Schizosaccharomyces pombe: one gene and its partners. Changing the gene in region 2 together with the main gene of any one other region gives a genetic interaction. Each region holds a gene or a part of one and is shown on either strand. Other genes may lie near its edges.

Region 1 (4,285 bases), on a different chromosome or scaffold from region 2:
TAGACTTGCAGTATATTCAATTTTGAAAGCACATACATCATCATTTATCTGGCCGTAAATTTTTATTTTCTCAGCCAACAGTTCATACTGCTGCAATCCAAGTTTTGCGTTTTTAGAAACTGCCAACTGGCCTTCAATATTCACACTAGCACCATATGATAGCCTTGATAATAAATTAATGTTAGTAGGAAAAAGATATCATATAATTTAGATTTTATGTCTCCTCCTCAACCATACTTCTTACTCTGTTCAGGCGAAGTCACCACTTGAAGGGCTTGTTGACATGTACCATCAGAAACCATGGCAAAACAAACATTTTTTAGTTTTCGGATAGATCGTACCCAGCCGTTTATGCTTATTAACTCTCCATTATGTGGGTGATGCCATAAAGACTTTAAAGTTTTTGGTAGTTGGAATTTATTCATACGGAATTAGCAAACAATTCAATTTTAATTATTAATTTACAAAAAATCCTCTATTGCTAAGGAAATTATGAATTCTTCCAAAAACTATTCGCCAATAACTAGAAATGCAAAGAGCGGTAGTAGTAAGGCGACTTTACATATCCTCAGTATGAAGGTGTTGCGTTAAGAATTAAGTCATTTTAATAAGGACTTGTAAAAAGATACAAAGTTACTTAAGTAAGTTAAAACAAATTTTTTCGTTCAAAAAATTGTAAGGACGTCAATTGGAGAATCCAGAAAGTACCACTTTAAAGTCATCAATGGCTGACTTCGTGGCTTCTAGAAGAGGAAGATTGTCGTAACTTGGTATCATTTTTTTCAAATTTATAAATTGAAACAACATCTGATCGCGTGTCCATCGTCCATTAGCTTCTTTTACGATATTTTCCCAATGAATTTTACCACCATTGTTCAATAACGAGTCGTAAATCCTTAAATTAAAATATTAGCAAGCAAGAGAAATTATGTAGGTCAATACTTACCTTTCTAAGAGCCAAACGTTTTCTTGAAGTTCAAATTTTGAAGCAGCCTTCGTCAATTGCTGAAATTTATAACGACACTGTAAACGAGTCCTAGTACCTAACATTTGGGCAACAAGCGTCCAATTAATGTCAGAACTTAAGTCTTCACGGTTACGGAGTTCAGCAACTATTTGCAATAACTGAGTTTCCTCTTCCAACGACCAAGCATTTCGTTTCAATTTATCGCCAAAACGTACTACGTCGCGCCAACGATCACGACAATCATTAGGCATTCGAGCCATTTTACGACCAATTTTCGTCCAGCATTTACCATGTTCAACAACATTTCTAAACGTTAATGATTTTTGAATAAAAATATAAACACATACTTTCTTAATTCTTCATCTTCTTCTTTGCTCCACACACAGCGATCTTCAAACGGGTTATATGCACGTCGTACATGGTGATAAATACTCTTGGCATCACGATGGGAAAGCTTTTTATATAAATTAGAGTAAAACATTCTGATTGTTTTTGGACATTTTCCTGCCCAAATTTGATTGCAAAATTGATACTCGGACCATCCTTGATCCATAATAAAATTATGTACTTCTTGGGAAATAATGGCAGTTTCCTGGACCCCGAAATCCCCTCTTCCAGAAGAATTTTTTCTACTATATTTCTCATAACCTGGGATGTTGTAAAGGGCCCGGAGGTGCCGTAATATTGTTCTTCTGGTAAAACTAGGCATTTCTTGAACCAATAATTTAACTAAAGAAGAGAGTGGCCCGTGAAGTCTTTTTTCGTGTAGAGAATCGGCTACCTGTGTATGGTCTAATGAATAGGTTTGACAGAAGTTTTGCATTCGTCGTTCTAAATAGTCCCAATGTTCCGCAGTCCATCTAGCACTACCTTTCAAAAATGGATCCATATTGGTAATTTCCGAAGGGCTTATTAAAATAGAATCATTTGTTTGATTCGAAGTAGAGTTTCTCATGGCATTCACACCTTTGTTAACTTTTGACAAGAAGGCGCTCGAATCCACATTATCATTTCCTAAAGCTATAGAAGAGGAGGCTAAAGCATCCAAATGAATGGATGTATTTTGTTCAGAAAGGTTGGAGTCTTGGGCTTGAAGAGACATTAAGGCCTCGAAATTGCGATCATTTTTACCATCTTCTTTAATGCTTAACGCGGGAGAAAACTTAGGCTCTATTGATCCAGAATAGTCATTGTTATTTGTTTTCAATCCTTTGTTAAGTGGAAAATCATCAAAATCATTCTTTCGTTTCCTTGATGATTGCAAAGAATCCACGCCAATAAATCCATGAATCTGAAGTTCCGGATTTAATACGGAGGTATCCATAAAGATTATATTTTTGAAGTACTATAATTGAGTAATCACTTCAACTTATCAATCGCTAATATCGTACAAAACGCTTCGTGAGCTTTAATTCGCAGTTTGCTAGCACAGCGATTTAGGAAGGGTGGGACACAAACTGAGGAGTGTAAATCTGAAATAAAGATGGTTTGTTATTAAGGGATATATCGACACGCTGCATTTCCTTATAGGCAATGCTAAGTAGTACAACGAAAACATTAATGATATACAAAAAATGTTGTTTTTGCTTACCACTTAGTACAAAAAAACTCATATTTATTATCGTCCTAAAATATGAAATTGTACTATTAATCAAATAAACAAGAAATGCAGAAATATACCAATAGTATTTAATTGGAAAAATTAGTAGCATACGAAGATTTGTCTTTAAAAATGAATATCCCAAAAGAAATACAGAAATAGTTAGGAATAAATCAATTGAAATGAGAATGAGGAGAAAATTTTTTTTGTACTCACATACATGGTAAAAAGTATTTGCATTCGATAGTAGTTGGAATTTTTTTGAACGAATCTATAGCACTATTTACTCTGTTACAAAACAACTAAAATAAATGTTTAATTAATTGAACATTTTGAAGAAATTGGGTTCTTGGCAATAAGTTTACAAGACCGGGATCTGATGATCATAATAAACATTCAGAAAACAATGGGTTTGGCACATCGTGGTCAACTGATCATTGTTGTTGTTTTTCTATGAACATCATATTTTAGGAGTTCTCTTACCATAACATCACCTTTTGCTGGTTGATGACTATAATATTGTTATTGAGATATTTTTTATCAACAGTTTGTTTTGATGAGTGCATTTGTTTAGTTTAAACGGTAGCATTAGGTAATACGGCGATCACAGGATAGCTTTATTTTTAGCAGTTATACAGAGTATTTAGCAAATGTTTGTTTACTGCAGTCATTATAGCTCATAATTAGCATTTTTTCAAGCCACCTGGTTTCATAATTCTGTAGCAATGTCTTGCAGACGGGCAGAAAAAAGCACTCAGTAAAAACAAATAAAGCATGGAAGGTATTTATTCACGAAATAGGAATCTCAACATTTCCCTTCCATCCCGACTAACTTCAACTTATAAAGAATTGGTTGACAATGGGAGACCGATTCATTCCCATTCGCAACGTTAGCAATGAGTTCAACTTTAGTTTCCAGTCATTCAAAGAATGTGTGTTAAGCCATGGATCAAATCTTAGGCGCAAAACCTCTGGCACTAGTATGTACCTTTTTTAGTTTTATATTCCCATTACTAACGACAGCAGTTCAAAGGCAATTCATGGAGCTACTAAGCATGGAGCTCTTCGGTTCACAAGCATCTCGCTCTAGAGCCTTCTATTATGGAGAAGACAAAAGGAAAATTGAGAAGAAAATGTTGGATACACCTGATAGAAAATCATATTCTCTATCTCCTATTTCACCGCAATCTCAAGATATGTTGCGGCAACCACAAAAGCCCAAAAGAGCTTTTCCAAAAACTCCATATAAAATCTTGGATGCACCTTACTTAAAAAATGACTTTTATTTAAACTTGCTTGACTGGGGCCAATCTAATGTCTTGGCAGTCGGACTAGCAAGCAGCATTTATCTCTGGTCAGCAGCAAGTGGTAAAGTGGTTCAATTACATGATTTCGGAGCAACAAATCATGTCACAAGCGTCTTATGGACAGGTAAAGGAACTCAATTAGCTGTAGGGACAGATTCAGGAGTAATTTACATCTGGGATATCGAGTCTACGAAATCAGTCAGATCTTTAAAAGGTCACTCCGAAAGGGTGGCAGCATTAGCATGGAACGATAATACCCTCACAAGTGGAGGCAAAGACGAAGTAATTTTACATCATGACCTAAGAGCACCAGGTTGCTGTGCCGAAATGATGAAAGTTCATGAACAAGAAATATGCGGATTGCAATGGGATAGAAGTCTAGGACAGCTTGCTTCAGGAGGGAATGACAAT
Region 2 (4,280 bases):
TGTGCCATAAAAAAACAAAGGTTCCAACTCGAATAAGAAAAGCGATTCTGTTTTTAAGCTTGATTTAGCACAGATGAAATGGAAATACAAGGTCATTTTCATGTTGTGTTGGTTCCATAAACAAAATGTTTTGTCAGTAGATGAAATCTTAGATCTCTGTAGATGTTTTTCTTAAATTAATAGTCCCTGTCAAAAAGTCGTTTTTTTTTTAACATACTGTTGTTTCCTAAAATTGGAATTATATATTTTTAAAATTAATAGATTTACTAACACTTTTTCTTGATAATAAGCGTGAATTTGGAATTATACATTCTAAACATCCACAAATGAATCACTTAATTGACTTTTATATTTAATGTTGTATTATTAATCGTAAAGAGTTAAATTTTTCTTACTTCAGAAACCTCGTAAAATTAATGTTTAACAATATATTTTTAATATTCTTCTTGGCCATAACGATAACTCCCAATTATTTAAAAACTCACACGCAGTGAATATTCCAATCTTCTCTTTACCTACACTCCCACTTCTTTTAATTCCCAATCGACGATATGTCTAGTAATCTTATCAAATCTTTTGGATTAATAGCAATTGGAGCGATCTCGGGTGTAACTTTCACGCATTTTTATTATAAAGGATATCAAGGATCCGATGTACCAGACTTGACACCCAGGTATACCAAATTTGACTCTGCTGGTCGAGCCTTAGAATCTATATATGATTTTAATGCCACCAAATTTTTTCAATACGGCATACCAGGACCAGTGGCAGACCAAAGGGTAAACCATGGCTATATGTCTGTGTTCGATCGGAGAACACGAAATCCATTCTATGTAAGCAAAAACACCGTTTCCTAAGCTTTCTTTACCTAGGAATTATAGATCACGGCAATAGATTAAATGTTTAAATTTCTGGTCTCTCGGAGTGCATTATATTAATAATAAACTAGACAGCGGAAACCATTACACAAGAATCGTTGAACCAACGCAAAGGCAATCGCAGGTACTCTGAGTTCGTTCCAGATGATAATATTCCTGAAATGTTTCAAGCAAAGTTAGGAGATTACAGAGGAAGCGGTTATGATCGTGGTCATCAAGTACCTGCAGCAGATTGTAAATTTAGTCAGGAAGCAATGAACGAAACTTTCTATCTTTCTAATATGTGTCCACAAGTGGGAGATGGTTTCAATAGAAACTGTAAGCAAAAACTTAACGAGACTTTTTCTTTTAATACATTAATAAATTTGACTAGTTACTAACTATAACAATTAGATTGGGCATACTTTGAAGATTGGTGTCGACGCCTTACAAGTAAATACGGCTCAGTTACCATAATGACGGGACCGCTGTATTTACCTAAAAAAAATGAACGTGGACAATGGGAAGTTCAGTATCGAGTAATTGGCAATCCTCCCAACGTCGCAGTTCCTACTCATTTTTTTAAAGTAATCATTGCAGAAAAATCAGGAGAGCCTACCTCAAGTCCATCAGTAGCTGCATTCGTTCTTCCCAACAAACCTATTGCTGACAACTTTCCGTTAAAGAACTTTGCAGTTCCCGTTGAGGTTGTGGAACGAGCAAGCGGATTAGAGATCTTATCAAACGTACCCAAGGGTAACCGAAAACAACTTTGCAGTGAAGTGGTGTGTCAGTTAAATGTTAAGGAGTTTGTTGAATCAGTTAAACAAAAACAAAAGAATCAAGGTAAATGATAAGAATAAGGAAATTTAATGAATCTCTAGTTTTTCTAGTTTTTCCGGTGATCGTTCTTTATTATGAAAATATTTAAACTGTTATTTACACAATAATACTTAAATGCTACATGTCAAAGAAACAATTATAAGTATTTTACCCAGTAGTATAACAACACTTGTAAGTGTTTAGCATGATTAGGAAAAGAACATGAAACGAATTTTAATTGCTGAAAGTTTATAATTATTAGAGAGAAAGCGCGTGAGCTACGTTGAAAAGAAAAATTTCTACGTTGCATATTAAGCTTTGCCGTCACTTCACAACTATACAACAAGACACATATCATAGGAGAGTAAAACAAAATGATAGAAAAAAAAATCATTATTATTCAGTTGAGATTTTTCTGCTCTCGTTGCATACGAGAGATATAGGTTCGAGAAACAATGTTCCAAGCATCCATATAGCGTTCCATACATTTGGAAACGCAAGACTTTTGTCTAGTTAGAATAAAAGTATTTTAATAGTTCTCATACCTTTTCATTGGGATCGAATGTGGAACCAGGCTCCGGGATACATTTATCAAAACAGTTCTCATTGATTTTCTAGATAAACCGATTAGTTAAAACATTCAATAAAACATAAAAAATGAATGGAGCATACACTTATCAATTCGCCAGCTTGAGCAACAGCAAGTTCCTGACGAATTTGTTTCATGAAAATGGATTTTTTGTCTTCAGAAGAAGGTGCATTTCCACTATTTCCACCGAAAATGCCCATTTTGTTTAAGTATAACGTTAAAACTTATGAATGTGGATAATTTTTACTCCTTTACAAGGAAAATTAATGAGGAAATGGTACGTTCGTGGAAAGTACCAAACGGTGTACTTAGGGAGACTAATTCAGAAACCGGCCATCATCACCAATTAGACTTCGTTAATAGAAAATGGATTTTCTAATATGCTGACATATGCGATACAACCAGACAGCAATCTTTGTTTTGTTTTCTACTTGGTATAAAAAAAAAAGATTTAATAAAATATTTCTAAACTAATGGATAGATATACTATTCGGGTCCTTTTGGTGAGTTTAGAAATAAAAGTTTTTTCAGCGTTTTTTTATTATTATTATTTTTAATATTTTAATATACGAAATGAATCGTTCATGACTTTTCATTACCCTTGTTTAGAAAAAAAAATAAAAATCCCAATTTGTAAGAAATTTTTATAGAGTTTTATAGTCTCGAAATTAAATCATGGAATTAGCACATCTTTTACTGCAAATAATCTGAGAATCAAACAAGTCACGTAAACATTTCAATGTTTAATACTGCTAGCGATATTATGGTGTATTAAATTTTATAACAAAAACGAGTTAGCTTGACATTGATAAAATTAATGCGACTGTTATTTACATTGAGAATTATATTGTTAAGTGAAATAGGATTATTCGAAGGAAAATCTATTTCGCTTACTATTCCTTTATATTTCTTTAGAATGATACCTTTGGATTGACTATCAATTGTATCTGTAAATCCACGGACACTTTCTTAATTCTGCGAAACTGCATGGGCGGCAAATTTTTCTTATCTTGAAATCTCTATATAGCCTTGCCCGAGGTAAATAAATAACAGGACGGCTGGGAGGTTGATCTTATCCAGAGCCAAACTCACCACCAAATCTCTTCTGTTTCTTTACAGTGGGAGAAATATTGTTTACCATTGTTATTATTATTATTATAGATATTCCTTTTAGTGTTTATTTTTTAAAACAAAAAAAAATACTTGTAACGAATTTTCATTAAGTATCATCTCTTGGATCGCTAAAATAAATCAGCGAATATTATAGTGCTGAAGCATTACACGTTCGAGGAAGTTGACAAATTTTAATAATTGCTTATCATTCCTATTAAATTAATAGTTTGATTTCCCTTTCAGGTTGCTTCGCTTTTGTAGCCCTTTGTTTCCCGTTCTTTTTATTTATTGTCCTCCACACTCATATAAAAAACTTTGACCATAAAAAGCTTAGACAAGCTCTTCTCAAATTCATTTTAAAATTATCTGTTCGCAAGCATTTTTGTCCCATGTCTGTGATAGCTCCTTCTTTTGATATGGCTAACATACTCACGGAGTTGTCTTCATTTTTAGGAGCATTATCCCTGGGATGTTGGGTCGTTTTACTGATCCCTCAATTACTTGAAAATTATAAAAACCAGTCTGGTGAAAGTATCTCTGATTTATTTTTAATCATCTGGCTTATTGGCGATTTCTTCAATGTACTTGGTTCCATTTACGGAAATGTCTCTTCTACTGTATTGGTTCTCTCATTTTATTACATTGTCTCTGACAGTACCCTACTTATGCAAATTTACTACTATCGTTGGAAAGCTGCCCGTCGTATTGCCAGTCGTGAACACGAACCCTTACTCCAAAGTCGTTCATTAGAAGAAGGTCTTCATGCACCCATTGGTAAACAACAAATTTGGTGGGATCGCCTTTCTACCCGTCAACAATTTGGTGTAATGGGATGTGTGGTTATTGTCTCGACAATCGTTGGAAACTTAATTATTTCTAGTGCCTCTTCTGACAAGAGT
Region 3 (3,888 bases), 3.7 Mb from region 2:
CATGTTACCTTCGTTTTCTAATCTTCCGAACTTATACTCTTCCTCGTATCTTGAAGAATGGAATGTCTTTGCTCAATACAAACGAAGAGAAAGCAACGCTACCGACTTTGAAGACTTTAGAAGTCAGGTTGGTGATGATGAAAGCAAGTTCGACGAACCTACTAGGTTCTAGTTAATAAGTATTTGCTTACTTGTAATTACGAATGCCAACATATCTTTTATTTGTTGATATTTTTGGTGTTCAAGTTTTATGGACCGTTTGGTCTGTAAGCGTTTTAAACCATTGATATGGCTGTTAAATAGACTTTAGTAATAGAACCTTTCCTTATCACTTTCTTTTATTTTATTCCTCTTTGTCTAGTAAATGCATCTTACTCATATATACTTATATATACTTATATATACTTATATATACTCACACGGTACAATACGCGTATAAAATTTAAGTATTGAGAAGTTGTTAGTATAAAATAGAACTTTTGCCCTATTAGGAAGGATTTGCAATGATTAATTGCATAACGAAAATTTTTTAAAAGCCTTAATGGAGAAAAGTAATGTAAAATAAGCCAATTACAACAGATAGCCAGTTCTAAGAGGTTTTATAAATACAACATTAGCAAAAAAATAACAGAAAACAACCTTTTCTGACGATTTGAACACGACAGATTAGATTAACGTAGTCTGATTTTATACAAAATGTAAAAATATCGTAAAAATTCAAGTGCGTGCCTTATTGAATAAAGTGCGTAGTGCAATAGGTAGGTTTGGGTGCGTTCTCGCAGGAAGTAGTGCGCTTTTTACGTCTGGAGGAATAACCTCTAACTCTCGTTTTTTCCTTTCATTATTAAACTTTTTAGCTTCTATGCCAATCGCGTACAAAAAATCTTTGATGAGACCGTCTTCTGAAACTTTGTAGAGACAACTCACGGGTAATCTTGGGAAATAGAGAAGTTCATCACTTGGAAACTCTCCCATAAGAAATTGCCATCCTGAAATCATGACTTTAGGATTAAGAGTATTAGAAGTTGTATCCAACACCAAGGGCGTCCTTATCACCACGGCGTTTTTTGGTACTCTCATACCTTTTTTTCCAATGGAGTCATGAGAGCATTTTTTAGCATGCTCTTTACAATTTTTATGATAGAAGGTGTCACACAGCTGGCAACCATAGACCCAACAAGCACCCATTGATGGCTTAGAGCAATAACCACAGTAAGCTAGATTAGTGATAGAGGAGCCAGTCGGCAAAGCAGAAAACTCGTCAGTATCCATTTCTCCTTCAGTTTCCTTATAAGCACCTGTATCCCCACGAGATATTCCATGGAAATAATGCACAAGGTCGTCGGGCAATCGGTACTGCGAGGGATTCTGAGAATCAATCCAATCGTAAAGCTGGGACCATATACTAAGAGGGTGCTTAGGAGGGTGATGCGATTTGATTGAGCAAGTCACACAAAACCAAGATCCTTCTGGAATATTTTCAGGAGTCAAGGGAGGTTCCAAGCATGAAAGATGGAAACTGCAAGGACATCCCTCGCAACAAATAAAAAGACCTCTTCCTCCGCATGCACTACAATAGTCGACGTTGCGTATAGTCGCTTTTCGTCTCCGTCGCTTTACAGGAGTTTGTTGAGATTCGGTTTCGAGATGACTTTTTAGGGAACTACCCCGGCTTTTTTGAATAGGTGCTTTATTTGGAGATTTATTCGAATAACTAGCTTTTTGTTTTTTCACTGGAGAACTTATATCCATCTCTTTGTCTTGGCTAATTGGCAAGACATTTACATGGTCAGTTGAAGAGTGAGTTGATGATGTTAAAGAATTATTTTTAAAATTAGAAGGGGGACCTTCATTTACGAAAGAGTCGCCATGACTATTATTAGAAATTGAAGGTACTGTAGGTTGAGATGAATTGTTTATAGAGGATGCCATTAGATACTTCCCATGCTATGAGCAAAGCAACATGTAATACGCGACGGTTAGCACTTAGAAATATCAATACTATCCTTAATGTTTTAAGGAATATTAAAGGTAAAATTAATGGTTATCGTAAAAAAGAACAATGGTCGAGGTTGTAAGTATATTATAGTGAAGCAACGCTGTTATGAAGATGCTAAGTTACAACAAGTCTTTGAACGCCAAACGTCGTTGCAATTAGACTTAGAAAACTACTTAAAGATATCTGATTTTCGAGAGGAGCATTTAGTATAAATGATTATCATAAGAATAAATTCCCTTCTATATGTAAAATATTTGAACATTTTGTTAAAAACTATTATCCATTTGATGGAACATGGAGCGTAAATTAAGTAGAGAAGCACTTTATGCCTCTTATTATGTTGTTCATCGTTTTTTCGTCAATTCAATATATTCACTAATTACTTAGAAGATGAAATAACTAAAGAATTTGACCACAACGTGAAAAAGTTGTATATATAATACATTCGTTTACAAACGTTTACTGCAATTAATTATCAAGATGAAATTATAGACGGTGAAACTTTTAAGGGTACTTTTTGTTGTTCAAACACAATTCCAAAAACCTTTGGAATAAGAATTTTCTCAAATTTCTTAATTCATGTCTATTAATTGCTATTTTTCGTGTGGTATATACTGTTCAAATCCAACCTCTCACCTAGTCATTGCCTCCTTCTTTTACACTAAGTTGTAAGTAAACTTATAACCAACCACAACTCGGTTTGCCCTTTAAAAAATATTTGTTTGAAGTCTAATGAATATTAAGGGAATTAACTAAATTAAATTAAAATCAAAGATTTGATTTAAGATATTTGAAGACTTCCTCTGTATTGTATAACGAGCGACCTTAAACAGTATCGATTTGGAGAGCACTGTGACGGAGATTTGACATATTTCACACAAAATGTTAAAAACGCAAGAGATATATTCTTCAGAAGATGAGGATGACATGTGTTGGTATGTTTTACTAGCCGATTAGTATCAAAATTAACTGACAATTGCAACAGTCCTCTATGTATGGAAGAAATTGATATCTCTGATAAAAACTTCAAACCATGCCAATGCGGATACAGAGTTTGTAGATTTTGCTGGCACCATATCAAAGAAGATCTAAATGGCCGTTGTCCTGCATGTCGCCGTCTGTACACTGAAGAAAATGTTCAATGGCGGCCTGTCACGGCAGAGGAGTATGTAATTCAGATTATAGAATTCTTGTTTAAGCATAATCTTGTTTAAATTCACTTTTATTTTTAAACATGTCGCTAATGTTTTTAGATGGAAGATGGACTTACATCGAAAAAACGAGAGGAAGAAACGCGAGAAAGAGAGGAAGGAAGTCGAGCTTTCAAACAGGAAGCATCTTGCAAATATTCGTGTTGTACAAAAGAACCTTGCCTATGTAAACGGCCTTTCTCCCAAAGTTGCAAATGAGGAGAATATCAACGTTCTGAAGGGACCTGAATACTTTGGTCAATACGGAAAGATTATTAAAATTGCAATAAATAAGAAGGCTGCTGCAAATTCTGCAAATGGTCATGTTGGAGTTTATATTACATACCAAAGAAAAGAAGATGCTGCACGAGCGATTGCTGCAATTGATGGCAGCGTAAGTGATGGGCGACATCTTCGCGCATCTTATGGTACCACTAAATATTGCACTTCTTATTTACGGAATCAGCAATGCCCCAATCCTTCTTGCATGTATTTACATGAACCCGGTGACGAGGTGGATAGTTATACTAAAGAAGACTTGGCATCTCTTCAACATACCCGTCCTCTTTCCACTAAACCTAATGTGGTAAATGGTGCTACTCATTCTCCTTCTCCTTCTCTTCCATTCAAAACACCTCTACTTCCTGTTACGAAAACACCGTTAGAAGAGGCTAATAGTAGTCCAGCTGCACAAAATCA

Evidence for each region. Genes that interact genetically often act in the same process or in processes that back each other up.
Region 1: mutations in tim13 (region 2) and reb1 together harm fitness more than expected from each alone (negative genetic interaction), as found in Schizosaccharomyces pombe (2 studies listed by BioGRID).
Region 3: mutations in tim13 (region 2) and cph1 together harm fitness more than expected from each alone (negative genetic interaction), as found in Schizosaccharomyces pombe (2 studies listed by BioGRID).

Annotation. Positions count from the first base shown.
Region 1 is NC_003423.3:191,252-195,536, forward strand, and holds reb1 (RNA polymerase I transcription termination factor/ RNA polymerase II transcription factor Reb1), read right to left. Parts: upstream 2,359-4,285; 5' UTR 2,292-2,358; coding exon 1,315-2,291; exon of another isoform or gene 1,274-1,314; coding exon 947-1,273; intron 896-946; coding exon 685-895; 3' UTR 501-684; downstream 1-500. Other genes in the region: asparagine--tRNA (Asn) ligase Slm5, read right to left, coding at 37-163, 238-425; ubiquitin ligase Mfr1, read left to right, coding at 3,427-3,547, 3,594-4,285.
Region 2 is NC_003424.3:4,482,266-4,486,545, reverse strand, and holds tim13 (TIM22 inner membrane protein import complex subunit Tim13), read right to left. Parts: upstream 2,556-4,280; 5' UTR 2,469-2,555; coding exon 2,352-2,468; intron 2,294-2,351; coding exon 2,225-2,293; intron 2,182-2,224; coding exon 2,080-2,181; 3' UTR 1,889-2,079; downstream 1-1,888. Other genes in the region: endodeoxyribonuclease Pnu1, read left to right, coding at 552-833, 950-1,196, 1,272-1,711; G-protein-coupled receptor Stm1, read left to right, coding at 3,771-4,280. UniProt on the Schizosaccharomyces pombe protein: Mitochondrial intermembrane chaperone that participates in the import and insertion of some multi-pass transmembrane proteins into the mitochondrial inner membrane.
Region 3 is NC_003424.3:797,594-801,481, reverse strand, and holds cph1 (Clr6 histone deacetylase-associated PHD protein-1 Cph1), read right to left. Parts: upstream 2,116-3,888; 5' UTR 1,933-2,115; coding exon 718-1,932; 3' UTR 501-717; downstream 1-500. Other genes in the region: ATP-dependent RNA helicase Upf1, read left to right, coding at 1-172; CCR4-Not complex subunit Mot2, read left to right, coding at 2,882-2,934, 2,985-3,164, 3,253-3,888.